Linked DNA regions of Tamandua tetradactyla. The protein of the gene in region 2 purifies or fractionates together with the protein of the main gene of each other region. This does not show direct contact. Links are inferred from orthologs where the notes say so. Each region holds a gene or a part of one and is shown on either strand. Other genes may lie near its edges. The genes, in order: PRPF19, SNRPA1, RBM17 and PHF5A.

What was found.
Region 1: the proteins of SNRPA1 (region 2) and PRPF19 fractionate together in Homo sapiens (co-fractionation; 3 studies listed by BioGRID). This does not show direct contact. The link is inferred for Tamandua tetradactyla from reciprocal best matches to the Homo sapiens genes SNRPA1 and PRPF19.
Region 3: the proteins of SNRPA1 (region 2) and RBM17 purify together in Homo sapiens (affinity purification with mass spectrometry; 5 studies listed by BioGRID and IntAct, with this or other methods). This does not show direct contact. The link is inferred for Tamandua tetradactyla from reciprocal best matches to the Homo sapiens genes SNRPA1 and RBM17.
Region 4: the proteins of SNRPA1 (region 2) and PHF5A purify together in Homo sapiens (affinity purification with mass spectrometry; 4 studies listed by BioGRID and IntAct, with this or other methods). This does not show direct contact. The link is inferred for Tamandua tetradactyla from reciprocal best matches to the Homo sapiens genes SNRPA1 and PHF5A.

Annotation. Positions count from the first base shown.
Region 1 is NC_135335.1:14,204,174-14,211,717, forward strand, and holds the start of PRPF19 (pre-mRNA-processing factor 19), read left to right. Parts: upstream 1-4,448; 5' UTR 4,449-7,544. Other genes in the region: voltage-gated monoatomic cation channel TMEM109, read right to left, coding at 3,312-3,336. UniProt on the Homo sapiens protein: Ubiquitin-protein ligase which is a core component of several complexes mainly involved pre-mRNA splicing and DNA repair. Required for pre-mRNA splicing as component of the spliceosome.
Region 2 is NC_135338.1:83,233,775-83,242,109, forward strand, and holds the start of SNRPA1 (U2 small nuclear ribonucleoprotein A'), read left to right. Parts: upstream 1-5,057; 5' UTR 5,058-5,155; coding exon 5,156-5,237; intron 5,238-7,084; coding exon 7,085-7,232; intron 7,233-8,130; coding exon 8,131-8,209; intron 8,210-8,335. UniProt on the Homo sapiens protein: Involved in pre-mRNA splicing as component of the spliceosome. Associated with sn-RNP U2, where it contributes to the binding of stem loop IV of U2 snRNA.
Region 3 is NC_135333.1:57,822,151-57,829,890, reverse strand, and holds the start of RBM17 (splicing factor 45), read left to right. Parts: upstream 1-4,500; 5' UTR 4,501-4,725; intron 4,726-7,740. UniProt on the Homo sapiens protein: Splice factor that binds to the single-stranded 3'AG at the exon/intron border and promotes its utilization in the second catalytic step. Involved in the regulation of alternative splicing and the utilization of cryptic splice sites.
Region 4 is NC_135333.1:34,624,962-34,633,008, reverse strand, and holds the start of PHF5A (PHD finger-like domain-containing protein 5A), read left to right. Parts: upstream 1-4,708; 5' UTR 4,709-4,761; coding exon of another isoform or gene 4,762-4,813; 5' UTR 4,814-4,859; coding exon 4,860-4,944; intron 4,945-5,260; coding exon 5,261-5,284; intron 5,285-5,609; coding exon 5,610-5,776; intron 5,777-8,047. Other genes in the region: ACO2 (aconitate hydratase, mitochondrial), read right to left, coding at 4,212-4,247.

The DNA.
Region 1 (7,544 bases), on a different chromosome or scaffold from region 2:
TGAGGTTGGGACGGCCCCGTCAGCTCGACCCTCTGAAATGCATCAGAAACCCAAATCTAACAGACTCCTGGCATGTCCCCTCTGGAGATATCAAGTGCAAGTGGCTGGTTCACTTCTTCAAACTGTTTTCTCTAACGAGATTCTTTTCATTTTTTCCAGGATAATCCCAGGGAGCAAGAATCTGTCCCATCACCATGATACCTCTTCATTTTGGCCCGAATACTTTTTAAAACTAAAAGAGGCCTTGGGAGTCAAGAGCTGAGGTAGTCACGAGTTCTGAGAGGAGGCAGCATGCCTTAAACCTCTTCACCTCATGCAATACCTGGCCTCAAAGAGAAGGCAAGAGTCAAGCAACCACAACAAAACTAAGTATTAGTGTGTTTGTGTGGTCCTTTGTTATCTACTAAGTGCTTTTTACATTGCCATTTCATTTGATTCTAACAATACTCTGAAAAGTGTTGCAAGTAAAAGTCTCCCCATTTTACTCAGAAAAATGTGGCTTAGAGAAGTCAAGGGACTTGTCCAAGACCACCTGGAAGATCTGGGATTTGACTCAGAACCCAGATCTAAATCCTGCCCTTCTGCTTGTCTCATACGTTACTTTTACCTTCGTGAAAGTAATGATGGCTAAGGCCCCAGACAAGCCTCTTAAGACATGGCCCCTGCTCTCAAGGAGACTTAAGTTCTGTCCAATATCAACAAGGTCAAAGTGGGAGGACATGTACATGAGACATGACTCCCAGGGGTGTAAATCTCCCCGGCAACGTGGGGCAAGACACCCGGGGATGAGCCTGGCCCTGGCATCGTGGCATTGAGAAAGGCTTCTTGACCAAAAGGGGGAAGAGAAATGAGACAAAATAAAGTTTCAGTGGCTGAGAGATTACAAATAGGGAAGGGAGGTCACTGTGGAGGTTATTCTTATGCAGCATATGGATATCCCTTTTCAGCTTTCAGCATATTGGAGTAGTTAGAGGGGAACAGCTGATACTGTCGACTGGTAATCCAGTAGCCTTGATTCTTGATGATGATTGTATAATGATATAGCTTTATGTGTGTGTGTGTGTGTGTGTGTGTGCATTGGCAGGGAATCGAATTCCAGTGTCCTGCATGGTAGGGAAGCATTCTACCACTGAACCACCCATGCACCCTATACAGATTTTAAGGTTTGACTCTCTGATCGTGACTGACACTCTTTTCACCCACCGTATGGGGAGATGAGTAACAAAATAAACACAAAAAAATAAGCAAATAATAGGGGTGGAGGGGTGGTATGGGATGTTTTGGGTGCCCTTTTTTACTTTTATTTTTCATTTTATTCTTATTTATTTTTAGAGTAAGGAAATGTTCAGAAATCAACAGTGATGATGAATGCGCAGCTATATGACAACACTGTGAACCACTGATTGTACACTTCATATGATTATATGGCATGTCGATGTATAATATATATCAATAAAACTTGCATTAAAAATATTTAGAGAAAGTATATATAGGCAGAAAAAAGATCGGAAGCAAATACATCAATTAACAGTGTTTTTTTCTTTGGACAGTAGGATTGTGGGTAATTTTTGGTTTATTTTCTGTGCTTTTCTTTCTTTTTAACTTTGTCAAAAATTACAATGTCTTCGTATTATAATCAGATTATTTTTAATGTTATTAAAGAAAAATCTACATTAAAAAAAGTGTGGGAGGACATCCAGACCCCCAAGAGGAGACCACCTACCAGGAGATGCTGGGTTTACAACTCACAACTCATGCTTTCATACCAAGAAATATGAGAGGATAGCAAAAAATGGCGACAAGACCTGTCACTTCTGCTCGGGCAGCTGCAATATGGCTTGGACAGGGCCAGGAGAAGCCAGGTGGGAAGGGGAAACTACTTATTCTGATAGTGAGTAGGCACTATATGTTTAGCTGTGGTTGCTAAGAGGGCAGGGTGGGGCAGGCTACACGCCCTTGTCCCCTGCTGAAGCTCCTTCCTCCCCTTTCTTTGGGTTAGTTTCCTTTCAGGCTATGAATCACTGTGTGGCTGGAGGGGAAGCTGCACTAGTGTCCTCTGCTGGCTCTGATTTCCCATCCACTGCTCATAGCTGCCTCTATGGAGCAACGATTCTCAACTCTGATGGCCTTTGAGAATTGCCTGTAGAGACTGTTTAAAGGATGGCTGCCTAACCCGGGTCCTACTTAATCAGACTTTCCCAGAGAAGGGAAAGCTTTCAACCTTTTGTTTTTAAAGCCCCCCCACCCCACCCCCGGCCACACAAACACACACACATACACCCAGGGACTTCTGGTGCATAACCAGACAGCTGGCAGAAATGATCAGCACTGCAGGAAAAAAAAATAAAGCTACAAAGAATCCTAGACTTCTGTTCCAGGTTAAGTTCTGTGACAATCTGAAAGCCACTACCCTTATGCCAGCCTCTTACTTCTCCTCAAATGTAAAATGGAGTTAGACGGGGTTAAGAATTGTTGCAAGGAGTTAAGACGTTTCTGCATGAACTCTGTAAACATCTAAAGAAGTGCTATGGCACACTGCCCTCCACCCCCCAATTGGCCAATATACCACTCGTGACATTAGCCTCCCATTATACTTTCAGCTCCTCCCGGTCAGACTTGACATCTAACATTTTGGAATCTCCCGCGCCTAGCACAGAAGGAGAGGAGTCCCCCACGCCTACTGCAGAAGGAGAACCGATACGTGCTTTGTAGAATGAGTATTAGAGGCATGCCAGGAACCCCGTGAGGACAGAAAGGGAGAACGGTGGGTAGTAAGAGGGTTCTTTCAACCACCGATCCAAACATGAGGCGGCCACCCGAGAAGCACAGCTGCGCTGAAAGGCAAAGAAGGGGCAAAGCCGCCGCTGAGGAGGATGAACTCAGCATCCTGACAGGTCGGGCACAGCCCGGGCTAAGCCCCTGACAGCTGCTCCCCAGCAACTGTTTGGGGGCAGGGCGACGGGCAAGGGGGCAGCTTCCCAGCCGCGCCGCACCCTCCCCAGGACCCAGCCATCCGAGGCAGGGTGTCAGTGGCATGTGCTATTTCGAACAGCGGGTCCCCTGCCAAGCCCAGTGGGGTGGCGTCGCTCGCTGGCAGGGGACGCAGGGCGGCTCATGGCCTCGGGGTACCGACCCCGAGGGGCTCGGACAGAGACCGCGGGGGTGGGGGTGGGCAGCGCGAGGTGGGGATCGGTGGCGAGGGTCCCGACCCTAGCCTCGTCCCTTACTCTGGCAACCGCCCTGTCTCCGCAGGACTTCCAGCAGCGCTGGGATTCCCTCTGCTCCCCGGAAACGTACGCTTCCCGGGTTACCTAGTAACGACGCCCCCGGTTGCATAGCAACGAGGATCCGGGTCCCTAGTTTGTTTCCCCCGCCGCACGACGTCGGACCCCTCCCCACTCCGGCTCGCCAGGCCTTGAGGTTCCGGTCTCGTCCTCCCCACAGCGGCTGCCGCTTCCCGGCCCTGTATGTCTCTCCTCCGGCCCCGGTCTCGGCTCATACTTACGGAACTTCGGCAACCGTTGCTCTTCACGTGCGACTTGGCTAAAACGCGCCACCAAACCCGCGCCTCAACGCCTGGGCGTTCGTTTACCGTCTGCGCATGCGCCAGCTCCTGAAGCCGAGCCGGGTCGGCCTTCGCCGCCTCAGGAGCTTAGTGCCATGAGCGCATGCGCTCTACCGTCTCGATTACTTTTTTTTTTTTTTCCCCCAAGTTTTAGTACGGAGAGAAGAATGGGATCGGAAGTTCAAGCTGGGAACGGAAGTCTCTGACAGGAAAGGGGGAAAAAGGTGACTATATCTGGGCTGTTCAGTAGGTAAACTGGATCTTTGGAATCGAGGTCGAAGCCAATTTGCCGCTTCAACCCCCTCGGAATTTGGGGAAATGTAGTTCTTGGGCTACATAATGCCGCCTCGGGCATTGTGGGAAATGTAGTTCTTAACACAGGCGCCGAGAGCCTCGGGTCTCGGGAGAAACTTTGCGCTCAAAAGGGGTCATGGTGTGAGAATTGGAGGCGCAGCGACAGTGGGGAAAGGCATCTGCCCCATCACAGGGCACGTCCACACCTGAACCCTGCCGGGTGTTCGCTCAGAATTTTAGAGCAGTAGGAAAACCAGCGCTCAGACTCCTTCAGCGGTGTAAACGGGAAGGATTTGGGGTGCGGCGACCTGCTCGGTGATCCTGGACGCGTCGCTTGATTTCTCTGAGCCTCAGATCCTTCAGCTTTACTCTGAAGCAGCTTTCAGTGCTGTAAGGTTCCCAAGATACCGCCTCACTGTCGGTTTGAAGATTGATTCAAGGAAGTGAAGAGAGCGAATATTACTTTGAAGACATCCACATTGCTTCCCAAAGGCTTCATCGCCGTTACTGACAACCGTAGGGATGGCTCCTTTCTGCTGTTAAAACCAGGTCCTCAAGAACGTCCTAAAAATCGGAGCCCTTTTTGCCCCTCCCCTGAACCTGCCTCCCCATTCTGCCTTCTTTCCAGGTTACATGCAGGAGTGGCTCCCAGTCTGTCCTCTAATCTAGTTGTTTCTTTCTCAGACTCACCTATCTGCATTTGGGCCCTCATCATTTACTGTTTCAGCTAAGAATCTTCTGGAGCAGGCTCCGGTGGCATCGTAGACCTCACCTTTAAGTTTTGTAACAGTCGCTGTTTTACGTTTGCTGGTGAGATTGTTTCTGATTTGTAGGGCTATGGATCTCAGATCGCAGACGTCCCTGTGCAAGCATTCTTATTTTTTTCCTATGATGTTATCTCTTTTCAAATCTCTTCTTTTCCCTTGGAGTGGTAGAAACAATCTCAGACAGGGTTCTGGGTTCTTCTGACTCCTGACTTTCAGGTTGTACGCAGTCTTGGGAAAGTTAACGTATGGCCAGCCGGGAGAAGGGAAAGCTTATCTAAACTTCAATCTCAGTTGTTTGAATTGGCAACTCCTGAGACTCCCAAATCTTCTGTCATTTATCCAGGCAGGTTGCCACTGAATCTACCTGGGAAATGGAGCTTGGGCTGCCTCTGGGTTATTGGCAGACATGCCTCTATGTTTCTCAAGCAACAGCAGCTTTGGCCTGAGGGAGCAAGGGAAAGGGCTCCTTTTTCAGAGACTCACCAACAGCTGTGCAGCTATCTCTTCCCCTCTATTTCCAGCCTAGGGAACTTGTGTCTCTGCTGGTTTGAAAGGATGTATGTACCCTAGAAAAGCCATGTTTTAATCCTAATCCTATTTTGTAAAGGCAGCTGTTTCTTCTAATCCCTATTCAGCATTGTATGTTTGAAACTGTAATTATATCATCTCCCTGGAGATGAGATTTAATCAAGAGTGGTGTTAAACTGGATTAGCTGGAGGCGTATCTCCATCCATTTGGGTGGGTCTTGATTAGTTCTTTTATAGGAATAAAAGAGGAAACATTTTGGAGAATGAGAGCAATTCAGAGAGCAGAGCAGAATGACGTAGCCACGAGAAGCAGAGTCCACCAGCCAGCGACCTTTGGAAATGAAGAAGGGAAACGCCTCCTGGGGAGCTTCATGAAGGGAAGCCAGGAGAGAAAGCTAGCAGATGACGCCGTGTTCCCCACATGCCTTTCCAGATGAGAGAGAAATCCTGTTCGCCATGTGCCTTCTCACTTGAGAGAGAAACCCTGAACTTCATCGGCTTTCTTGAACCAAAGTATCTTTCCCTGGATGGACATTTCTACAGACTTGTTTTAATTGGGACATTTTCTCGGCCTTAGAACTGTAAACTAGCAACTTATTAAATCCCCCTTTTTGAAAGCCATTCCATTTCTGGTATATTGCATTCCAGCAGCTGGCAAACTAGAACAGTTTCCTTTATGGGGATGTTGAGGTGGGGCAGATTAAGGAGAGTGGGTGGAGGTCAAACTCTTACAAGTTCTATTTACTCCAAAATCAACTGTTTAATATCTCGATCCTCTCTAGTCCTTTAGAGGCTGACTTTTGAAATGCAAAATCCTTTAAGGGACTCCCTTTTCGCTATGTTCTGAAGTCACAACCATAAGCCCCCCCCAATGGAGGGTCATTTCTGATTTTGCTCCTAGTGCAGTGCCTGTCTGGTACATAGTGGGTACAGTCTAGTAAGTGAATGGCTGATGGTCTCCCTCCAGTCTGCCCCGCTCCAACCTTCCAGTAAGCGTCTTCCAGAGGAAACTTCTAGAAATGTGGTTATCTTTAGGTCACTCCGTAGCTCAAATGCAATCAAATGCTGTTCTGCTCCCAACCCAGTCAAGTCTAACCACTTACTGTACAAGGCCCCGACTAAATCCACCCAGTCTATATCCTGCCACATCCAAGTATTTGAGGTGCCTGACGTGTCAGGCAGCCTGTTATTCAACAAAATTTATGAAGTTCCTACTGTTTGTCAGACACTGTGTTAGAATCTTGGAACAACAGTGACCAGGACAACTGTGATTCCTGTCATCACAGAGTTTACAGTCTAGCAGAGAAATCAGACATCAAACAGATAGTTATAAAAAATTAAGTGATTGTAGCTATCCAGTGGGGCTTCAAGGAGAATCACAGGGTGCTATGGGGTCTAACTTCAGATAGAAATCAAGAAAAGCCTTCCCCACGAAGTGACATTTAAAGTGAGATGAAATTACATTGGAGGGTGTATTCGTTTGTTGAATGCTGCTGGAATGCAATGTACCAGAAATGGGTTGGCTCTTACAAAGGGAATTAAATTACAAGTTTACAGTTCTAAAGCCATAGAAATGTCCAAACTAAGATATCCAGAGAAAGATACCTTGACTCAAGAAAGGCTGATGGTGTCCAAACACCTCTATCAGCTGGAAAGACATGGGGGCTGGTGTCTGCTGGCCCTTTACTTCTGATTTCAAAACAGCTTCCCCAGGGAAATTTTCTTTCTGCACCGCCAAATGTCTGTGTCAGCGCTGAATCAACTCCAAAATGTTTCCCCTTTTAAAGGACTCCAGTAAACTAATCATGATCCACCTTGAATAAGCAGAGTCACATCTCCATCTCATCAAAAGGCCGCACTCACAGTTGGGTGTGTCGCATTTCCATGGAACAATCCATTCAATGTTTCCACTCTACCGTATTGAATCAGGATTAAAGGACGTGGATTTTCTGGGGTATAAACAACACTTTCAAACCAGCACAGAGGGTATGGGGGGGAGGGGCCAGAGTGGGTCAGATTGAGAAAGTCAAAGTCTGGAGAAAAGATGAGGTGAGAGTATCCAGGTGCAGGGCCTGGGGGAAGTTTCCTCTCCCTTATTGGTGGTCTCAGGATTGACTCCTTTCCCTCATCCAGGCTTTAGCACCTCCTCAGTGATGCCCCCCTCCCCAAATATCCTGTCTAGAGGAGCCCTCCCTCCAATTTCCGCACCTCCTGTGCATCTTAACCTTGTTTTGTTTTATTCATAGCACTTAACCATTCTTTGGGATTTTCGTCTGTCTGTGTGCCCTCCAATGGAATATAAGTTCCATGAGAACAAGAAACTTGTCTTTCTTGTTCACCATTTGTATCTCTGGTTATCAGAACAGAACCTGGCATTTTTAGCAGGTGTC
Region 2 (8,335 bases):
TGACTGGTTCCATGTTTGGTTAAATCCTCACGTAGGGCAGTATTTTCTGGGATCTCATTTTCCAAAAGCTCAGAATTTTCCAAACTACGTTTTCAGTTGCTTTCTCCAAAAGAGTTCAGTTCTAAACTTATCTCTTTCCTGTCACATTTTACAATAAGCTACAAGAAGAAGCCAGGCTGTATTTTCTACATTTAGTTTGGAAATTTCCTCAGCTAGATATCCAAGCTTATTGCCTTCAAATTCTACCTCCCAGCCAATACCAGGACTCAATTTTGCCAAATTCTCTGCCCCTGTGAAACAAGGGTCACCTTTCTTCCAGTGGGCAATGACATGGTCATCATTTCTATCTAAGGCCTTATTGGAAGACACTTTAGCATCCAAATTCCTACCAACAGACTCTTCAAAGCCATCCAGGCCTTTCCTATTCACCTCCTCACAATTCTTCCAGAATCTTCCCCTTACCCAACATGTTTGATATTGCAAAAACTGCAGCACCCCACTTCTCTGGTACCAAAATCTGTTTCAATTTGTTAAAGCTGCCAGAATGCTATATACCAGAAATGGATGGATTACATAACAGTTTCAAACCAGATCCAATAGAAGAGTGGACAAAAGAACTAAACAGACACTTTACAAAAGAACATAAGGAAATGGCCAATACATATGTAAAAAAAAAAAATTATCAACTGCATTAGTAATCAGGGAAATACAATTAAGACCCCAGTGCAGCACCACTACCTACCCCACTGAAATGGTTAAAATTAAGAAGACAGACAATACCAAATGTTAGCTAGAGTGCAAATGGGCATTACCATTTTTGAAAACTAGCATTACCTACTTAAGCTGAACATAAGTAAATCCTATGACCAAGCAATTCCATTACTAGGGATATATGAGTATATATGTTCACTTAAATATATACACTATAATGTTTATAGAAGCATAATGTATTCTAGCTCCAAATTTGAAATTACACAAATGTCCAAATAAATTGTGGAAAATTCATACAATGAAACACTCCATTTTTGAAATGAGAAAAAATGAACTACGTCTACACACAAGTATAATGTTAAGCAAAATATGCATGAGGTACAATTTAATTTGTACAATTTCATTTGTTTAAATACAAAAGTAGGCAATCTATGCAAAGAGAGGCAGGATAATGGTTACCATTAGGCCAAGGGTAGTGACTGGAAGAGGACAAAATCTGGTGCTAGTTGCTTGGGTGTGCTTGGTTTGTACTCTTCTGTACTATATATATAATATATATAGTCATACTTCAATTAAAAGTTCAAAAAGAGCTAATTGTGGAAAGTAAAACAATAGCCCCTTGTAGATAACATAGGAAAATATGTTGGAGATTAGGACAGATTTCTTAAACAAGACACATACACACTCACACACAGATACTTACAACCCACTAACTATAATGAAAAAGATCAATTGGAAACTACATAAAAATTGCAAACTTCTAAAAAAATTATTCTAATTATCAAACACCAATAAGAGTAAAAAAGATAAACCACAGAGTGTACTCATATCCAGTCTATGTGAATAAAGAATTCCCATAAATCAATAATAAAAGGGTAGACAACCGAATAGGAAGAGTTGGCAGGAGACCTGAATGTGCACTTCACAAAAGAAGATATCAAAATGGACAGTATACACATGAGAAAGGCCTCAGCGTCATTAGTTATTAGAGAAAAGCAAAATCAAAGCAATAATTCAAAACTACTATATACCCAGTAGGATTGCTCAAATTATAAAGACTGACAATGTCAAGTGAGGCTGAGGTTGGAAGTTCTGGAAACACTTACACACAGCTAGAATGAAATTATTCCAATCTTGGCATACCTGTTAGGCATTGCCTGGCGATGATACAATACCCTTTGTTCTAGCAATTCCACTCCTGGAGAAACTCATGTGCATGTGCACCAGATTCATGTACAAGAAAACTCATAGCATTATTCACACTAGCCCCAGCCTGGAAACAACCCAGTTTGTCCATCAACAGTAAAATGGATGTTATAGTGTAAGACATATCATGAAATTCTATACAGCAGCAGAAAAAGCATTACTAGATACAACCTGCATGAATTTCAAACATAATACTGAACCAAAGAAACTGAGCATAAAAGCAGACTGCATAATTCCATTTATATCAAGTGCTCATACTTTTATGGTCAGTTTATTTGAACACCATAAATACCTGGAATCTTGAATAGGGAGTGAGATTTTGTTCGTTTGTCTAGGTTAGTGTGATGCCCTGATAAATCCCAGAGAGATTTAGGCAGTAAATAAAGAAGTATTTGCAAAATCCCCTTGAGGGAATGGGGAGAAAGGACAAAATATTCAACTTCCCTATTTGGAGAATTTCTAATACTCTTACAAGCAGTGGGGACAACCAAATTAATAGGCTGAGCCCTCAATCTTGGGGTTTGCCCCTATGAAACTTATTTCTTCAAAGGATAGCTAACCCTACTTAAAATTAGGCCTGAGAGTCACCCCCAGAGAACCTCTTTCATTGCTCAGATGTGGCCTCTCTCTCTAAGCCAACTCAACATGTGAACTCACTGCCTTCCCTCCTACGTGGAACATGTCTCCCAGGGGTGTAAATCTCCCTGGCAACGTAGGACAGAAAGCCTAGGATAAGCCAGGACCTGGCATCAAGAGATGAGAAAGCCTTCTTGACCGAAAGAGGGAAGAGAGAAATGAGACAAAGTTTCAGTGGCTGAGAAATTTCAGAGTAGAGAGGTTATCCAGGAGGTTATTCTTATGCATTATATAGATAATCCTTTTTAGTTTATGGTGTATTGGAGTGGCTAAAGAAAAGTACCTGAAACTGTTGAGCTGTGTCCCAGTAGCCTAGATTCTTGAAGACAATTGTATAAAGATATTACATTTACAATGTGACTGTGTGATTGTGAGAATCTTGTGTCTGATACTCCTTATATCCAGGGTTTGGACAAATGAGTAAAACATATGAATAAATAAATAATAAGGGGGACAAAGGGTAAAATAAATTGGGTAGGTGGAAACACTAGTGGTCAATGAGAGGGAGGGGTAAAGTTGTATGGTGTGTATGAGTTCTTTCTTTATTCATTTCTTTTTCTGAAGTGATGCAAATGTTCTAAAAAATGATCATGGTGATGAATACACAACTATGTGATGATATTGTGAGCCACTGATTGTGTGCACCATGTATAGAAAGTATGCATGTGAAGATTTCTCAATTAAAAATTTTTTAAGAAAGAAAGTGTGCAGTTAAACATTGCTACCTATCATAACTTGCCAAACACCAACCAAAACCACTCCAGCCAATCATAAGGAACACCCAGGGCAATATATAAGATTCTACAAAGGTTCCATGCACTAGGGTAACTTTCCAGAAACCTACAACCTCCAGATGGACCCCTGGACCAGATAAGTCCTGAAACCCAGAGCAGCCAGCCTCTCCAAAACATCAGCTAGTTCCGTGTCCCTACATATTATTAATAGCCCCTTCCAACATGAAAAAGTTAGAATGGGCATAGCTCAAATACCCCTAATAAGTGGAAGTAGGATCAAAGGTGATGGTGGAGTTATACAGAGAAGGTAGGGTTTAACAAATGAGTATGATTGCTGAGTCATTATACTGATATTTCTTTTAGTCTCCAGTATCTTAGAGCAGCTAGAAATAAATACCTAAAATTGTGGAACTGTTACCCATACCAAACTGTGAAACCTGTTCTACAACTAATTGTTGCACTGTGCTTTGAAATTTGCTTTTGTATATGTTATTTTTCACAAAAAAAAAGTCTATTGTGATGATAAAAAAATATTTTTTTCCTTCTGGCCTCCAATGTTCTGGAGGAGTTAGGAAAAATCTGAAATGATGGTATGGTAGCTAATGACAAACTCTGGGACCCATCCTATAACTACTTGTTAAAGAGTGCTTTGAAAACTATTGCTTTTTTCTTTCTTTGCTTTGTATATATGTTATGTTACACAAAAAACAAAAATAAAATAAAATTAAGTAAGTGAAACTAACCCATTGTTACGGTTCACTGTTTTCTTTGGGTTGGGCAAGGAGTTCTCAGGAAAATGTTCTTTTTCTGAACCTGGGTAGCACTTAGGTAGTAGTGTTTTCTCTGTGGTCATTCATCATGCCGCAGTTTTATGATTTGTGCACTTTTCTGTATATCATACTTACATATATAGTTTTAAATGTCTAGAGACCACAGGCCTAGCCACCGCTAAAATCCTGCGCCCTACTTTTCTGAGCAAACTCTTGAGTTTCCTTTTGCTGTCTTTTGAAATGTGAAATCCCCACCATGGTGGCTGACCCAGGTAAACAAGCAAGCCAATCAACTGGTTTACTGCATTTGCCGCAATACAAAATAAAATCCCACCTGCCCTAAACCCACCCCTCGAAGCGGAACAAACCCCTGTCCAATCAATAGGAGTCAACCTAACCTCCTTTTTATGGCTGTAAAAATCATTTGCCATTCTTAGAAGCTGGAAGCTGCCTCTGTTTTTACCCGTGCTCAGGCTTCCTTGCTGCACCCAAACTTCTGGTGTTCCGAGTAAAATGCTGTTAACTACAAACCACGCCAGTGTCTTTGGACACCGCAAATCCAACAGTGCTGGTGCCCGGTGGGAAGTCAGGCAGTGGGGCTGTCCCAGCAGTCTGGCCACAAGGGGGTAACCATGCCCTGGCTCCCACACTGTAGCCCAACAGCCAAAGCCCAGGACTAGGACGGAAATGTGAAGTTGCAGCCCCTCCCTACATTGAACCTCAGAGGTCCCCGCCCTCCTGGGTGGAGTATGGATGGTCATAGCTTCCCCTCTCATTTTCCACTGATGTATATGAAAGCTCCACAGAGGTGCTTTCACACTTTGCTTAACTTTCGGAGACAGCTCTCTGGTCTCAGAGGCCCACCAGACAAGATACGCAGAACCCAAGGAGTCCTCAAGCAGCGCCAGGCAGGAACTTAGAAAACGAGCCGGGGGCGTGGTCCTTCGATTGCTTCTGCCTGGCGTCGAGATGCGCGCGCACCCGCCGGCTGCGATTGGTGCTGTCTGGAGGAGGGCGCGGGGCACACTGGGAAGTGTAGCCGGCGAGAAGCAGTGGGCCTTGGCGCTAGGAAGCGCCAGGAAGCGGGAGTGTTGCAGGATGGTGAAGCTGACGGCGGAGCTGATCGAGCAGGCGGCGCAGTATACCAATGCTGTGCGGGACCGCGAGTTAGACCTACGGGGTGAGTTCGGGGCAGCGGGCGGCCGTCCCTGGACCTCACTGGCCACGTGTTGGCGCCCCGCCTCCGGCCTGGATTCTGGGCGCCCAGGCGGTCGGGGCCTCCGCCCGCCGCCGAGCGCAGTTCCTGGTACATCGAGTTCTGTGAGCCGGCACCTAGAGGCGATTCTTGCCTTTGCCGCCAAAGGAGCCTTCCGTTAGGCACCACTGAGACTTCTGCAGTCCCTATCCTACTCGCACACACGTGGCCGAATTAATTGCTTCCTTGTCCATGCCCGTGGACCTCTATTAGACCTTGTTTGGGGCGTTTCGCAATCCGAGCTCTTTTTCGGGCCGAGAATTATATACTTAGTAATGATTGTGACTCAAGTGCACGGCGGATGGTTGGGTCTCGCTAAATACTTTGAAATGATACTGTGGGAGTAGGTGGGGCATATGGTGATTACCCATAATTTATGACGAGGGAAGCCAATTCCGGGAACAAAAGCGATTGCTTATTTTCCGCGGTATTTCCTTCTTACTGGCTTTAGGTTCCTTCAGTTTCCTTTTCATCAAAACGTTTTAAAAAATTCATTCTGCTGTTTCACCAAGCTTGCTGCGGGGTATGTTTCCAGCCACCACCACAGGGTGTTCTCCAAACTTTGGAGGTTCATGTAGATATCTCAGCCGAGGAAGGCATGACTGCTTTAGAAAGGATGTAACGAAAAGATGTGATCTTTTCTGGGGTGAAGTTTATCCATTCCCGGTCTAAGGTTTTTCCACATGGAGACCGGTCTCAGGAACAGCACTTCTTCAGGCTCTGCTTTTTTATTAGTTTCTTTGCTGATTGGGAAGTCCCAGTGCTTTTATTTTGTTGAAATCACCTTTCTTAGGGAAAGGTTCAGTTCAAGGGTAACTTACTGTCTTCAGATTCGTGGTACCTTTCTAAATTCTGAGGTGCACCCAGTATTGAAAACATTTATTTTGGTGTAGTACCTACTTTGATGTAGTTCTTACAGTTCCAAATTGTGTACTTTATTCCTGACTGGGTTTCTTTCTTCTTCTAACATCTAGCATGATAATTTTGCCCATATTAGACCAATCGTGAGCATTCGAGTGAATGGTTCATAGTATGCTGTAGTAATGTGTGTAAGCTGTTGACCCTCAATTCTGCATTGGAACTGGGGGAAATGAAGAAAGCAGAAACAAACACATCAGTAGGATATCCTGCTGAATCTAGCCTGTTGGAATGCAAAAGAGGTTGAGGGCTGTTTTTCACATAGTATAAACAAGGCTTGGGTACTAATAGTCAGCTAAAAGCATAACTTGCTCTGGAGCCTTGATTAAATCAGAGCTTCGGTTTCATTTTATTTTTAAATTACATTTTGAAATTGTTTTATTGTGGATTTATAGAACAATCAGGCATAAAATACCAGATTCCCATATACTACCCTATTATTAACACCTTGCATCATTTTATTGTTACAGGGGATGAAAAAACTTGAGGCTAAATGAAACAAATCATGTGTACTGCTTACAATAGTACAGGGTACCTTATAAATATTCTTACAGATGTTTGCTACAAATATTAGTAATAATAAGTAATCCTCATCATCAGCTGCAGCAGCATCTCCATGTTCACTACTAGATTATAAGTTTCATAGCCACAGGGACTTTGACTGTTTGACATTTTATCTCCACTACCTAGCACACTATTTGGCATGTTGTAGGCGTTAGGTAAATAGTTTTGAATGAATGAAAGCCTTCAGTCAAATTACTGTGAAATATTGTTAATTTTTTAAGGTAACTTTTAATTATGATACAGTTCTAATTCCTTTGCTTGATATTTCTTGTTTATTTTTAATGTTACAGGGTATAAAATTCCTGTAATTGAAAATCTTGGTGCTACCTTAGACCAGTTTGATGCTATTGATTTTTCTGACAATGAAATCAGAAAACTGGATGGTTTTCCTCTGTTGAGAAGACTGAAAACATTACTAGTGAACAACAACAGAATCTGGTACTTTCTACTAAGTAGTAATTTTTCCCAAGAGTAAATGTTGCAGTGATCCCTGAAGAGATTGTAATGCATACTACTGGTTAAATCTGTTTATTTCTTCTTAATGTGAGAAATGACCTGCACTCCTCTCATAGAGATCCAGAAGATTAACTTGGCATTGGTCTAATCTTATATGCATCTGTTTTAGAAATGTAGAAAATTTATATATTCATGGTAACATTTTAATTTAAATTTAAAACATGCTTCATGGTACACATTTGGGCTTCTAAAACAATAATTATAAAAATGAAAAGGATCACATTAAAGGAATATATAATTTCAGCAATTATATTTTTGCTCAGACAACTCTTTCTTACCTCACATTCTCTGCTATTTATGTTTCTTTAATTACAATGGATTTCTAGAATATTACTTACTGAAATTGAAATCTCTTTGTGACCCTACGTCAGCTTTGTGTAAATTTTATAGAAGAAAATTTATACCAGGTATACAGATAATGTCTTTAAGAAGGTCTCCTTGTTGAGACATATTTCTCATAAATTTATCATTCCCTGTGGTATAGTTTTGAACGTCTTATACCTGAATTATGAATGCAGAATCATGTATTTCTTTGCTGTCTGCACAGAGAAATCATGAAATGCACTCTCACTAGGTATTGTGCCAGTGGAAGGAGCTCTAGGCAGCCTTCACAAGGCTTATGTACTAAAATCCTCCCAGTTCTGGTACTAATCCAAGACCTTTTACGAAGTTTTCTCTTTGTGCCTCATTTCCCTACTGTCAGATGGGGTTTTGGAAAAAGAATCTAAGTTTCCTTTTAACTGTGAAGTCTGAAATCCTCTGAGCAAGAACTTAGATAAAATTCTTAGCTAACTAAATTTTAAGAGTCTTTTTCTTTTAGCCGCATAGGTGAGGGACTTGACCAGGCTCTGCCTTGTCTGACGGAGCTCATTCTCACCAACAACAGTCTTGTGGAACTGGTAAGATGAATGGGGGGAAATGTTTTGGGTGGGGGTGAGATTAAAGGTACTATATCCTTCCTATAAGAAATTTGATAAAGCCAGAAAAATTCATAGAAGATTGTCTTATCCTTTTTCATTGTCCTT
Region 3 (7,740 bases), on a different chromosome or scaffold from region 2:
TGGATTTATAGCAAAAGAAAACTTCTTTTTTTTTTGCTATAAATAACATTAGCAGGGCGGGCGATGGTGGTGCAGTGGCAGAGTTCTCGCCTGGCATGCTGGAGACCTGGGTTCGATTCTCCATGCCTGTCCATGCCAAAAAAAAAAAGAAAAAAAAAGGACATTACCAGGACAATCTGTGAAATTTGAATAAAGTCTATAGATTAGATAATCACATTACATGAATGTTTGTTTCCTGATTTTTATAACTGTACTTTGGTCATATGAGAAAATGTACTTGTTTTTTTAGGAAACACACTGAAGTATTTAGTGGTAAAAGGGCATTACATTTGCAATTTACTTTCAAATTGTTCAGAAAAAAAATAGAGAAAGAAGATGGTACAGTAAAATGCTAATATTTGGAAGTCTGGATGAAGGGCTTATGAGTTTTTGTGTTATTATTATTGTTTTCTATGCCTGAAATGATTTCAAAGCAAAAAGCTAAAACTCTCATACACACACACACACACACACACACACACACATGCTATGAAACTATAAAGTATAATGATCTCTGGGTAGGTGGATGGTGGAATTCAGAGGTAGAAGAGAGAATTTTACTTTTCTTTGGATACCTTTTTATTCTATTTGAATTCCCCAGAGTTAGTAAGTGTTTATGGTTTTCAGACGCAAAGTTTGAAGTCATTTGTTTTGTAGTGATAATTGTTCTAATACCAAGGGACTCCTACCAAAATAGAAACTGCTGCAGGAAAAAGATTAAACCTGAACCCAAACCAAAAAAGTAAGTGCTTTAACAAAATGAAATTATAATGAGAAGGGAAATTTCAATCATAAAGTATGACTTTCAAACTTTCAAATAAACTAAAATAAAATTAGAAAAAAAAAGAATGACTTCTCTTCTTTCTCATGAACCAAATTTTAAGTGTCCTTAAAAGTTTAGCCCAAGGCTCACTTTTTCTCTTAAGTGTCAGTTGAGTCAGAGACTTTGGGGTGAGATAGATACCGTGTTCTCATCATGACTCTACCACTTGCTAAATGCCCCTGGGAATGTCATTTCACCTAAGTAAGCATCACTTGTCAAATGGGAATAATACAATCTCACAGAACTGTTAAGAGAGTTATCTAAATAAATACCAGGGCCTCCTCCCCAGTCTGCCAGGAACCTCTTTTCTTTTCCTCCAGGTCCAGTTCATGTGTGAGGTAACCAATGCCCAAGACAAAAAAAAAAACACTGACAAAAAAAAAAAAAAGATTATTATACTTTCCTTTTAAGAGCATGTACAGGGATTTCCATGGTGTTTGTGGTAGATGGAATTATGGACCCAAACAAACATAGGTTCTTAATCTTAATCCACACACCCATGGGTGTGAACCCACGGTAAATAAGACCTCCATCTATTTCTTCTGTTCAACAAATCTCTGGCCCCCAGGAAGGAGTGCTGTCCACAGCACAGTGGGTTGTCCATCTCCTGCTGCAGACTGGGTAGAGAGACAGCTAAGGACCTACCTTCACTCATACTAAGCGAGATTTTAATCTCCTACTAGTTCGAGCCATTGCCTGCATTTCTAAAACAAAGTTTCTTCTACTGAGACTTTGGTACCACCCTTTCCCAGCCTTTTCCACATCTCCTTGCCCACTGGCTTTCCCATGAACCCACAACCCAACTCTCTCTCTCTCCCTAGTTGTGTTACTTCTGGCTATTTCCTTAATCTGTCTAATCCTTTCTTTCCATGCCATCTTTCCCTTCCACCAAGACTGAGAGCTGCTGAGGTTGACCACCTGCATGAGCAGGCTCCGACAATCAGAACAGCCCTTTAAGAAAATTTTGGGTTTCACAGGTGAGCCTGAACCCAAGAATCAGACCTATTTATAACTCTGAACTTAAGCCTGACTAAATTTGAACCAATAATCTGGATTTCATTCCAGAAAAGCCTCCCCAACTTTAGGTCACCTCTGAAATGGAGTTGACCTCCATAAGCCTTAGTCTCCAAGTCAACCCTAGAAATAAATCCTCTGAACCCAGGAAGGATCCCTCCAAAATTGTGACTGAGCACTCACTGTAGCCCTGAGCACTTTGTCTTACTTTACTCCCGAGGCTTTTCTCTGCTCTAAAAGAGGGCAGATCCCCAGCAACCCTGAGACTGGCCTCAGCCTAGGACTGAGAACTTCTGTCCCAATGTACTTCTTTGTGCTAATATTTTATTTAGGATTTTTGCATTGAAAATCACAAATGACAAAAGAATAAAATTTTCTTTGGGCTGTATCTGTTGGCTTTAAACAAGGCATTTGGAAGTTTTCCTCCTTAGTTTGCTCAGTAACAAATAGCACAACAGAATTTGTTGTCCCTAGGCGTCTGGTAAAATTGCCCTGTGGATATATCTGGACCTGGTACCTTTTTGGAAGGTAGTTCTTTGCCATTCTCTAAATCTCCAGTGATGATTGGTCTGCTTAAATTTTCTAACTCTTGTAGCATCCATTTTGGGGAAATTATATTCTCCTAAAAGTTATCTATTTCATCCAGACTTTCAGATTTGTTTGATAAAACTGAACAAAGTCATCTTTTAAGATAAGTTACTTTTCTCTGTATTTGTGGTGAATTCCCCTTATCATCCAATATTTTGTATACTTGTGCTTACTCCCTTTTTTCTTGTTTAATTATCAGCTCATCTATTCATTTCCAAAGAATCAGTTGTATTTATTGCTTAATTTCATGTTTTTCTGGTTTATATACCATTATTTTTGCTCTCATCCTCATTAATTACTTCCTTCTGCTTAAAAAAAATGATTTTGTTGTTCTATTTCTAAATTCTTCCATGGGTGCTTCATTCACCCAGTTCATTCTAATTTTTTAAATTAGTGCAAACATCTAAAACCATAAATTTTCCTCTTAGTATTGTTGTAGTTAAATCCCATGAGTTCTAGTATGTCATTTTCATTTCTGTATTCTTCTATATATATTACACTGTTTTGATTTTGTCTTCCTTTTGACCCAAATATTATATAAGCATTTTTAAATTTCCAAGGAGTAGGATTTTTTTCTGTTACTAATGTCTAGTTTTACTGGACTGTGATCAGATAATATCGATATGGTTCTACTCATTGGAATATATCAAGTTTTGTTTGTGGCCTAAAATATGGTCAAATTTTGTGGATATTCCATGGATGCTTAAAAAGAAGCAGTAATCTCTGTTTCAGGGTACAGAGTTTGATATGTTAGATTTATCATATTAGCTACATTTTTAGGTCTTCTCTACCCTTATTTACTTTTGTGCCCTTAATCAGTCATGGACTGTACCAGTGGTTTCCATCTATTAATTCTCTTTACATCTCCTTTAGTGTTTGCTATGAATAATGCAATTATGTTCTTTGATGCACAGATTCTTTTTCCTTTACTGTGAATTGTACCCCCTTATATTTATTAACCTCCTTATGTTCCCCATCCTGAAATCAAGCTTGTGTAAGACTAGGTTTGTGATCCCTGAATTCTTTATTTCTGGTATATCTTTTCCATTCTTCTATTTTCAAACTTTCAGAATCCCCTTATTTTAGTATTCCTTCTCAGATACAATACAGAATTGAGCTATGTCTTGTGCTCCAGTTTGAAGTTGCATTTTTTGATAGGTGAGCTTAACACATTCATGTTTACTAACATGAGATATTTGGTTATAGTTCTGTCATCATCTTATACTTTCTGTTTTGTAACTTTTTCAAATATCTCACACTTGATTTTGTTTGTTTTGTTGTGTGTTGCTTGATAATTTAAAAGGTTTGTGTTTTTATTCTGGTTTATCATTATATCAATGACAAGATGTTCTTAATCCTCTATTTAGAATCTCTATTGACTCCCTACCTTACTTCTTTCTTTTTCGCCTTGCCCTCCCTTTTCTTAGTCACCGGGTTTTATATGATTATATCTTATCTTTTTTTAATGTTTCTTTGTACTAAAACATATGCTTAAATCTATTATTTGATTTAGCTTGAAATATTTTGACCCCCAATTATAAGTCTGAAAATAAGCATATTTACACCAAACCCCACTTTCTTTTTCCCTTCCAACTTCTGTAGTCATGTAGTTTTAAAATTGTGAGGGACTATAACATTTACTTTCATTTCTGCAATCCCAATCCTGAGGCTTATAGGCAAATCAATTCAATGCTCACTGCCATTTATTTTGCTGTGAATATTTCCATTCATCTCGTCTATGGTGATTTATTTTTAGTTCTTTGCATTAGAATGGAGAACCAGAAGAGATTCTCTCCTTTACCCTGTTAGAAAACAGTTAGCTATCGAGAAGATCGCGGTTGTCCTGGACCATTTCTTCTTCTGCCCATCTGGGGTCACTGCCACTTTCTTCTACTATTTAGATTTCAATAACTTGCGCCACTGCGACACCTTTTGGTGAAAGAAAGAGACGCTGGCGGAGGAGGGAGAGCAGTACCGACCTCCCACCGAGAGGTGCCGCTGCAGACGCGGCGCCGTGGCACAGGCGTCCCCTCTCTACTGGCGGCGCACGCTCCTTCATCCCCGCGCCGCGGAGCCCCTCCGGATTTGGCGTAGGAGTTGGCGCTGACTCCGTGGCCCGGTGTCGTCGGCGGGCTTACGCAGGGTGCGTCTCCTCTTCTGGCCGCCGCGCTTCCGGGCTCGGTACGGAGCTTGCGCGTCTCGGCCCCGGCTCCGTGGTGCCGCCACTCCGGCCCATGGGGAAGGTCGTCTGGGCGAGCCGGGTAAGTAGCCCCCTCGTCGCCACCCCGCCGGCCTGGCTGCGAAGCTGGGGCGGGAGCGCCAGCCAGGACCGCGCCGGACGCGAGGCCGTAGATTAGGCCGCGCCGCGCAGGGGGCGGGAGGGTCCGACATCGCCAGCCCCAAGCTGAGGGCGATCTCGTCCTCCAGCTCTCAGGCCCCGGGTTCCCTGCGCTGAGCCCATTCGCGCCTTGCCCCTGGCTTCGTTCCCAGAGCTGCTGTCGGGAGCCTCTGGCCCGGTTCTCCTCCTCCTCCATATTCTCTTCTCTCCGCCTCCAAGCGCAGCACCTTTTCGTGCGTTTGCCACTTTTTTTTCTCATCCTCCAGTCCCAGTCTTTCGTACTCTTACTCTCTCCTTCCTGTTCTCTTTTATCTGCCAGTTTCAGTCTTTCGGGGGCTAAAGAACGTTCCTTCTCTTCGTTGATCATGTGTGAAAAAGTTTGTCGGTCCCTTGACCCTGTTTCCAGGGCAATATGTCACCTGTGCCCAGCACTCTTGTGTCCCTCCAGGACTCAGGAAGTGGAGAGGATAAAACCCATTTCCTCCCAGAACTTCGAAACTGGGAATTCCAGATGTCAAAAAATTGGAACCTACCTGGGCAAGTGAAGAAAACCATGACTTCCCCGTTACCTTGGTCCTTGTCATTTTACAGTGGACTTGTAAATTGTCAGGTCCTGGTTTTAGCTCTGTTGTTCAATCATCAAACATTTTTCGAGCATTTACTCTTACCCAGACAGTATGTTATCAACTGTGATCTACGAATATGTCGCTACTTTCATGAAATGTGGTCTCTAGAGAAACTAGGCATGAAAACCCTACCTGGGTTGATCTGAGAGACTAGAGTGGGATCTGGAAAGACTTTCGAAGTGGAGCTGATACTTATGCTGATTCTTGAAGGGTAAATGATATTTTTTTAACCCACAAGGAGAGGAAAAGGTTTCCTGCAAAGGAAACAAGTGCAAAAGTACCAGAAAGGCGAAGCACCATAATACTTGGGTAACTGCGGGTAAGGCAGAGAAAAAAGTTTGAGGAGAAATTATTTGGAAGGTTAGTCATGTCAGACCATGAGGGGGTCTTTGAGAAGTAAGGGAGGACCATCAAAGGTACTTGTCAGATAAGCCAGGTATGAAGTTGGAAAATAGAATATTGAAGATAGGATAAGATTCTACATACACTCAAATAGACCATGAGAACCTGTGTCCCTGCCACAGGTAAAGTTTTTAAACACTGCCGGTCAGTTTCTACATTTTTGCTACAAAAAGGCCACACATTTTGAGTATAATAAGGATTTTTAGGGAATATGGAGTAATAAGTTAGTAATGCAAACCAAGAGTTTTATGATTAGAATTTATTAAGCGGTGATTAGGTACTGCAGAGAAGAGTAGGTTGTGATATTAACAAAAACGTAAGATGGAATAGAAGTTAATAGTGAAGAGCGATTCTGATTGTGAAGTTCTGTGGCAACTAAAGATAGCCTTTATGGGAAATAAGAATTTTCAGAGAATTGTTAAATGTCCCCCCAAAACGTAACTTATTAAGGTGATTCTTTACCCTGTTTTAGTTTATCTTCTTATTCTTCCCTGCAAGTGAATTCTTCAGACCTCCCCTTGCAGGGAAACAGATGATCCAGGGTTAGTAATCCCTCAAACCTTTCATAATAGTAAGTGATAGAAGATACTCAATTATACACTTTAATTCCAGGTGACTCTAGTGGGCTTTGTCTGCAGTGTACTCCAGTCTGTGTCATTTTGGTCAATAAGTCTATGAAAATGAATGGAAATATTAAACAGAATGAACATGTGAGAGTGGGAGGTACAGGAAATTTCTTTTAAACTCCTTTAAAAAGTTATCATAAATGGGGCAGTGTGACGGTGGTTCAGTGGCAGAATTCTCGCCTGCCATGCCGGAGACCTAGGTTTGATTCCTGGTGCCTGCCCATGCAAGAAAAAATAATAAATAATAATAATAATTAATGTTATACATGAGGCATAAACCTTTTATAGCTGTATTTTTTGTGGACAACAAAGTGCATCACCCCTCATGGTTTCCTTCTTGTTCCTTTCTGTGTATGCTTGCTGTATTCTTCAGGCTTCAAAGAGGAGGCTTTGGTTTTATGATACATAAATATCTATGTAGTGATAAAAAGGTTTCTTGCCAAACCTTCTTTAGGTGTTCAGAACTCAGACCTTTGTTGTGGGTTGTACAGTAGTAGTAGTTTTTCTCACTTTAATTATGTTAATACAGTTTAAAAGTCATCAAACATATTAAATTTCATTTCCTGTAAGATATGTCTTTAAATACAGATCTGCAGATCTTATGGATGTTAATAATGTGATTTAAATAGATGCTGTGGTAGTTAGGTTCAGTTGTCAACTTGGCCAGGTGAAGGTGCTTAGTTCTGTTGCTGTGGACATGAGCCAATGGTATGTGAACCTCATTTGTTGCTCATTACATCTGCAGTCGGCTAGGAGGTGTGCCTGCTACAATGAATAATGTTTGATTTAACTGACTGGTGCTTAAATGAGAGAGCACAACGTAGCACAGCCCAAGCTCAGCATATCTTATCTCAGTACTCAGCCCAGGCCTTTGGAGATACAGAAAGAAATCACCCCGGGGAAAGTTGTTGGAACCCAGAGGCCTGGAGAGAAGGCCAGCAGAGATCACCCTGAGCCTTCCCATGTAAGAAAGAGCCTCATTTGAAAGTTAGCTACCTTTCCTCTGAAGAACTAAGGAAATAAATCCCTTTTTATTAAACGCCAATCCGTCTCTGGTGTGTTGCATTCCGGCAGCTAGCAAACTAGAACAAATGCATTAGCATTTTCTATCTATTCTGTGATACATTTAGAAAATATTTATTAAGTGCCCACAATGTTCTGACCATGATGCTAAACTGGAGATACAAAGATGAAGACAAAAACAGCCCTTTCATTTACAGGGCTTATAATGTAAGACGAATACATAAACCTGTAGGCAGTGTATCAGGTAGGAGTTGCTGTGAT
Region 4 (8,047 bases), on a different chromosome or scaffold from region 2:
AACTTAATTTCTGTCAAACATGTCAGTTTCTTTGTAGCTAACTGCTACTCAGCAACCCTAGTGTCTCAAGGAAAAACCAAGGATTTGAGAAATCTGTTTACAAGTGCCCAATCTCTTCAGTAAACATTTGTGGTCTTTTCTATAAACATAACTATTAAAAAACAAAGAGTAAATGAGGGTTTTCAAAAATTTCACCTCCCATCTTCTTCACTCTTGTTTCTAATCTTGCTTCCTGGTAGCAGTTTCTGCAAACAACAGTATATTTTAATTTAGGGAGCATTGTTCTCAGATTATGAAGCATCAACAGACTGTCTTGAGGCCAAAGAGAAGCAGCATAATGCGGTCTCTAGAACTTCAGGCTTTGGAATCACAAGGTACAGATTCAAATCACATGTTAACAAGTAGTGATAAGACCCTAGGCAAATTTATCTTATTGTACTTAAGAATTATATAACAATTACTAGTTGCCAGGCAGGGTTCTAAATGCTTTACAATAATATGATTATTGAAGATTAAATAAGATAGATGTACTGTTATCATCTGTATCTTAAAGGCAAGGAAACAAGAACAGAGAGGTAAAATGACTTGCTCAAAGTCAAAGCTAGTATTAGAGCCAGGATTCCAATCTAGGCAGTCTGATGCCAGAGTCTATACTCTTAATCCTTACACAAGGTTCCTCTCCAATCCACAATTTCTTCATCTGTGAAATTTATAACTAATTAAGTCTGCCTTATTTCACTGTCATGTGTGATTTCTGGTACACAGTAAACCACTATTACTAGTTACTCTTAGCAGCTACTAAATCGGTTCACTACTCTTAGTGGTTGTAGTAATAGTCGTAATTCTATACTCTACTTTCACCTTTGGTCCAGCCAAGACTAAAAGAAAAATATTCTGGCTGAGAAACCTTTCCAAGGCCCTCCTAGTAGGATACATTATAATATAATGGAAGCTCCATGAGAATAGGATTGTCTGCTTTACTTACCATTGTATCCATGCAAACAGAGCTCAGTAAATATGTGAAGAATCAAGTGGGAATGAATTGAATACAAGGACAAGATTCTGCCAAGACATGATGACTACTAAGGTGGTTACTATTATTTCTCAAATGTGGCTAAACATGAAAGAGGTAAATTCACAAGGTTCTCAGAGGACGGTGTGAGCTGGCCATTACTTGAGACAGCCTGACTACTGGGAGACAGTGTGGTATAATGCAAAGTAAATAATATTGCTCACTCATTTTAGTTTAATGAACAAACAAAGGGACCTGTATTTTAATCCTGACTCTGCTACAGACTAGCTGGACCATTACTGGAAATTAACCAGGGCTCCAAAAGCATCTGTAAAGAGGAAGTTGGACTATATGCTTATCATACATACATTCTATTTGATGGGACTCACCAAAGGACTTTATCATGAAAGTAAAAAGACATCCTACACAACGGGAGAAAATATTTGGAGACCACATATCTGATAAAAGTTTACTATCCAAAATATATAAATAAATCCTTCAACTTAAAGACAAAAACCCAGTTAAATTTTTAAAATGGGAAAAGGACTTGAATAGATACCCCTATAAAGAAGATATACAAATGGCCAAAGGCACATGCAAAGATACTCAATATCATTAGGCATCAGAGAAATGCAAATCAAAACCACAATGAGATACCATTTCACCCTCACTAGAATGGCTACTATTGGAAAAAAAACATAATTGGGGTGGGCCACTGTGGCTCAGCAGGTAGAGTTCTCGCCTGCGATGCCAAAGACCCAGGTTCGATTCCCGGTGCCTGCCCATGCAAAAAAACAAAAACAAAAACAAAACCAAACAAACAGATAATTACAAGTGTTGAAGAGGATGTGGAGAAACAGGAACACTCATTCATTATTAGTGGGATTGTAACAATGATTCCACCACTGTGGAAGACAGTTGGAGCTTCCTCAAAAAGTTAAGTATGGAATTATCATATAGCCCAGCAATCCCACTTCTCTGTATATATCCCAAATAACTGAAGATACTTGAACAGATATTTGCACACTGATGTTCACAGTAACATTATTTACAAAACATGGGAGCAACCCAAGTGTCCATCAGCCAATGAATGGATAAACAGCATGTACATATATATGTATATACATACATACAATGAAATATTATTCAGCCATGAAAAGAAACGAAGTTCTGATACATGCTACAATATGGATAGCAAACCTTGAAGAAATCATGTTGAGTGAAATAACTCAGACACAAAAGGACAATATTGCATGATCTCACTGAAATGATTAGAATAAGCAAACTCAAGAGTCAGAATCTAGAATACAGGTTACCAAAGGGCTGAGTAGGGAGAAGGAATAGAGAGTTAAGATTTTAAATGTACAGAGTTCCTATTTGGAATGATGGAAATGTTTTGGTAATGGATGGTGATGATGGTAGCATAATACTGTGACTGTAATTAAAGCACTAAGGTATGTATTTGAATGTGGTTAAAAAGGGAAATGTCACGTATTTACAGTTAGAGAATAAATTTTTTTTTAAATCCATGCAGCTGCACAAAAAAAAAAAAGACACGACTACATGTTGATGATAAATACTTTCTATTTGCTCGTTACTTTATAACAGTCATCACAACAACTTGCAAGAAAGATGATTACCAGGCACTCAATAATGTTCAATGAAGATCAATACCAATTGAAGATGAGGTAACTGGGCTTCATGAAATAACTTGCTCAAGGTCACAGAACCCCGTAGAACATGAACTAGAGTCTGGATCTCTTTTACAGTAAACTAACACTTGCAAGATTCTCTTCAGTTCTAAAATGTTGTAATATTATTCCTCTTTCCCAAGCCTAATTCATCTGTAATCATTTATCTTACCAAGTAATCTTGCCTGACTCTTCTATATCATGGGACAGCGGGATCAACCTAAAGAATCAAAAACACCTTAAGAGATAAAGATACAAATCCCTTGCATTTGCCCAGAATCGAGACTAAAAGTATTTTATAATAAATGATTATTTCATTTTAAGCCACAAGGTTTAAATTTAAGCAATGTGGTAAAAAATAATTTCCAGTCACACAATGGTTCCCAAGAGTACAACACATAACTTCTCTTTTTAAATTTTATAATCAAAACTCTGCCACCTGATTTAAAGTAGATCCACAAAGTTAAATTTAAAGGTTGGCAGAGAGCGTCTAACAAATGCTTACTTTCTTTACTGTATTAACAAAACACACACCTGACACTGAATCTCTGAGTATAACATCCTTCTAAGAGTTGTAAGTTAGGAATTTTAAAACATCTGGCAGTCGCAGCCAGTCAACTTTCTTGGTGGCTCATAACGGGAGAGTCAAGGTCAAACAGTTGAGCCTCCTTACCCTCCCATCTAGTATCTGAAAAGCAACCACCTGTGAGTTCAAAATATTCCATTCTGGTGTTCTCATAAATACAAATGTTAACTCCAGAAACACACCCTGGCTCAAAGTTTTGTTGATGACAAAGTTACATGGAACAAGAAGACACTCTTAAACGCAGGAACTTTCACCTACTCTCAAGCAGTTTCACCGCTTATCAAATGAGAATAATCACCTTGTACTTATCGCACTAGATAATTATATGAACCAAATGATGAAGAATTAAAACAGTTGTGCAAACGCGAGAGGCTACGATTATTATTACTATCTTCTAGGTCGGGGTCCGGAAGACCCCCTTGCACTCTTGGCTATATCTTCCGCAGGGTCTGGGATAGGGTACCAATTTCTTCTGACGATTCCAGACCTGGCAACCGTAGATGCACCTGGCAAGTCTGGTGCTGAGATGGAGAGTCCTCAGGAACTGGACCTAGCGGGCTCAATAACGACCGTGCCCCCCAGTCACCTTGCCGTCACCTTGAGGAGCAGAAAGAATTTCTACGAGAGCCGAGAGAGCGGTCCTAAAAAGGAAGAAAGAGGAGCCTCTATTCTTCCACAGGCTGCCGCTGCTTGAACCTACGCTTCCCGCAGGGCTGGGCCAGGGCCAGAGAAACTGACTGAGCCGGGGACGCCTTGACCTCGGGCGTTAGAGAAGCGGGTACGGGTGCTGAGCTCGCAGCCGGAACTGGTACCAGAAAAGTCGACCCGAGGTAGACCCCGCCTCGCTTTGCCTCGCCTACAGCCGCAGGCACAATGGGAAGCACCCTGCCCCCATGAACCTTGGGGTTCTGGGCTCGCTCACCTGAAGCCGGGTCACCAGAAGGCTGTAGGGCGCCATTTTGTGCACTGACAAAGATGAGGTCGCGTGAAAGTGACGTACTACATAGCGTCATTTAAAGCCTTTGGGCAGGGGGCGTGACCTAAGAAGAGACACGTCGACGGTGGGGGCGGGGCCTTCCTAGAGGTGTCAGAGCTGGGGAACACAGTAGTGGGTGGAGAGCACATGTAAGGAACGGACACGTGAGAGGGAAAAAAGCTGCAGAAATAAATACCCGCTACAAATATATTTTATTGAAAAACAAGTTTCCGTTGTATCTGCCATCCAAATCTGGGAAAACTATATATTTTTTTAGGACTTTCAAGCACCTGCCAGGACCTGGTTCCCCAGCAGTGACAGATGCTCGACTAGGAATTTAAGAGCTTTGATCGCGCGAGAGCGAGCTTTGGTGCAAAGACAGTAAAATGGTGAAAGCTTAGCCGACCAATCACGGCGACCCAGAGGCAGGAACAATGGGGGTTAAAGGTCGGACGGAAGTTTCCGAAACTTCCGGTGGCCGGTTAGAGTGGGCGCTATGGCTAAGCATCATCCTGATTTGATCTTTTGTCGTAAACAGGCTGGTGTTGGTGAGACTGCGCCCCGTCCCCGGCTTGTCAGTGAAGGGGTCGTATTATGAGCTGGAAGGTTGGGGGGGTTCTCATTACTTCTCTAGAGTGTCGCCTCGGACGTGCCACGCTTCCCGCCTCGGGGTTTCAGGGTATTGTAGGAGCGCGCGGATACGTGCTTCTGAGAAAAAGAGGGCGGGAGGCGGGGAGCCTTGAGGCGGGGTTGGGTTCTGGGGCTGGGTACCAAGAAATATTGCTGAGAATTGCCAAGGACCTGGGACGGGCTTCAGGAGGGAGGTCGTGACTGTGGGTTTGGCTCAGATCGGAGTTCATCGTGAATAATAAGATGGCCATTCCTTAGAATTTACTGTAGTCTCTGTTCCTGACCCCGCCTCCGGCTCAAGTGTGTTTTTCTCTTTAGCCAAAACACTAATTCTAATTGTACTCTTACCTTCTTCGATCTTGCAGCCATCGGAAGACTGTGTGAAAAATGTGAGTTGAACTCCCTCCCAGCACCCCACCCCTCCCACTCAGTTTCTGTGGAGCCAGTAAACGGACATTTCCACCAGTGCCATATAAATGGGCTTTGAATAGGGGTGGCTGGAAGCATGTAACAATGCCAGGCTGCAACTAAGGGATCCCTCTACTTCCCCACTCCGACTTGTACATTTTAAATGCTATATTCGGGTTTTGAGAAAGTCTCCAGCTTTGGACATGAATTGCTAGAATAGCATGACCCCATCCCCAATACAGTTTTAAGGACTTGGGAGAGGAGGAACTTGCAAGTGAGTATGACTCTATTCTCTTTTCCTTGCAGGTGATGGCAAGTGTGTGATCTGTGATTCTTACGTGCGTCCCTGCACCCTAGTGCGCATATGTGATGAGTGTAACTACGGCTCTTACCAGGGGCGCTGCGTGATCTGTGGGGGTCCCGGGGTCTCTGACGCCTATTATTGTAAGGAGTGCACCATTCAGGAGAAGGATGTGAGTGTATACAAAGCTTTCTATTTGACCTTTCCTTTTATTTAGTAACACTGCCATCCACAGCAAACTCCTATGGTCTGTGGAGATTACCATGTTTGGCTAGTCACCTAGGTTATAATTTCAAGTTCTTTGAGCCAAGTTGGGTGTGGACCAATAAAAGGCAGTTATTTTGCATCAAAGGCAAAAATGCAAGAGAAGCAAATCTTTGTCAACACCAGCAATTTGGCAAGACTTCTCTCTATTCCTTTAATGTCACTCTATGATTATTCTTATTCAGAAACAGCATCCTGCATTTGTAAGTCTTAGCTCAGTGCATAATGTGTAATAGCCACTCAGTAATTCTCTTGACTCTACTATCATTAGGGATTGCTTGGGTGGATGTGGTGACAAAGTGGAATTTGAGACCGTTTAAGTTGATTTCAGCTTTCTACAGCCGAAGAATGCCTTTGGTTTAATATCGTAGAATTGACTGTGGTTCCACCTCATGATATTTTTATTCCCTGACATTGTGTAATGGCAGACAATGGCTAGTTATCATTGAACTCCCTAAGCCAAATGCCAGGAAAGAGGACTTGCAGATCTGCACCAAAGACAAGTTTTAACATTTTTCTTTAGATTTGTACTGGCAGCAGGGCTCTTGGAGGGGAAAAACAACCACCGTGAATCAGCTTGTTTTCTTCCTACAACACAATAAAAGGAAATGTGATGAGGGTACCCCATTACCTAGTATAGCATAAGGCAAAAGATACTGAGTTCTTCATATTTCCATGAGCAAGGAGTAGATACTTTATACAATTTCCCTTCTCCTGACAATAACTGTAAAATAGGTAGTGGTATCCTCATTTTACAGTGCACCGTCCAGCTAATAAGTGACAGACCCAGGCTGTCAGACTATACTTTGTGGTGTCACCATTATACCATGTTGTCCTTTTGAAATAGCTTTTGGTAAGATGTTAATTGAACTACCTCAGTAGTCTTATTTATTCATTTGGATCCTGTCTATCCCCAGTAGGAAGGACATATCAGGCCAAATTAGACTATTTCTTGCACAATTACATCTCCAAAATTTAGAGAGATGCGAAAGGTCATAAAAAAACATAATTTCAGTTGGTTACTTGAACATTCTCCTGGACTCTGATTTACGTTTCTCCTTTGACTGTGAAACCATATCCTGCATTTTATAAATGTGGATCTGAAAAAATTAAATTAAAAACAAAACAAAATAAATGTGGTTCTGGTTTTGCAGCTAGATTAAACTCCTTTAGCACAAGGCCCTAGGACTATGTATTTGTCTCCTCCGTTTCCCCAGTTCTTGGTTTAGTGCTTAGCTGGTAGTACAAGCATGAGGGACATTTTTGGTGCCGTCCCTGTAAACCATATGAATATCCCTTGACAGGGTGTCTGATACATAGGTGTTTGGTAATTATTTACAGCATATAAGCAGTGTAACCATGGTAAGGTAACAGCAGGGAAAAGAAAGGATGAGCAACTCTTAAGCTAGCTAAAGTCCATTAAGAACAACATTTTCTTGAACTTTTGCATGATTGTGACTGAAGTTCTTATCTGGCATAAGCTTTGCAACCAGAGAGTGCTTAATAAATGTTAATTGCCATCTGACTCGTATGCATGTGTATGTGACCTGATACTTTGGGATCCTTATGCCTCATTTTGTCCCTGAGAGAATGGTCTTAGACGTCACTTCCCCTACCTCACATTGTACAGGAATGTTCTGAGGATATTTGAGATGGCATCTAGCTCATATTTAATCAGCACTAGTTTCCAAGGAACACAAAGCAGTCCAGTGACATGATCCAGGCTCTCAACCTTACAGATTGTCATGTAGATTAAGTGCCCAAGACTTTTTCCTATGCAGAAATCTTCCCAGAACCAAAGCACTCCCCATTATTGTTCTCTTCCTGCAACTTTCATAATTTATAAGGGAATTAGACCAGAAAGCTAATCTGGGTTCTCCCACTTACAGTTTTTCAAAGCCACAACAATAATCAGGAGTTGAGGATAATATCTATGAAAATTGCTAGTTTCTTATAGGGCAGCACCACATTAATCCTCTTTAGCCCTTGATTCCTTTACTCCTTTCACTTACCATTTTCTTCAATTCTCCTCCCATACAAAAAAGAAGAAAAATGGCTAAAATTTGTGGAGCTCTTGATATGTGTGAGGGTCAATGCTGAACGTTCTCCAAAAGTCTTAAGTGATACAGGTCAGGAAACTAAGGCCTAGAGATGTTAAGCAAAGTGGCCCAGGATCACA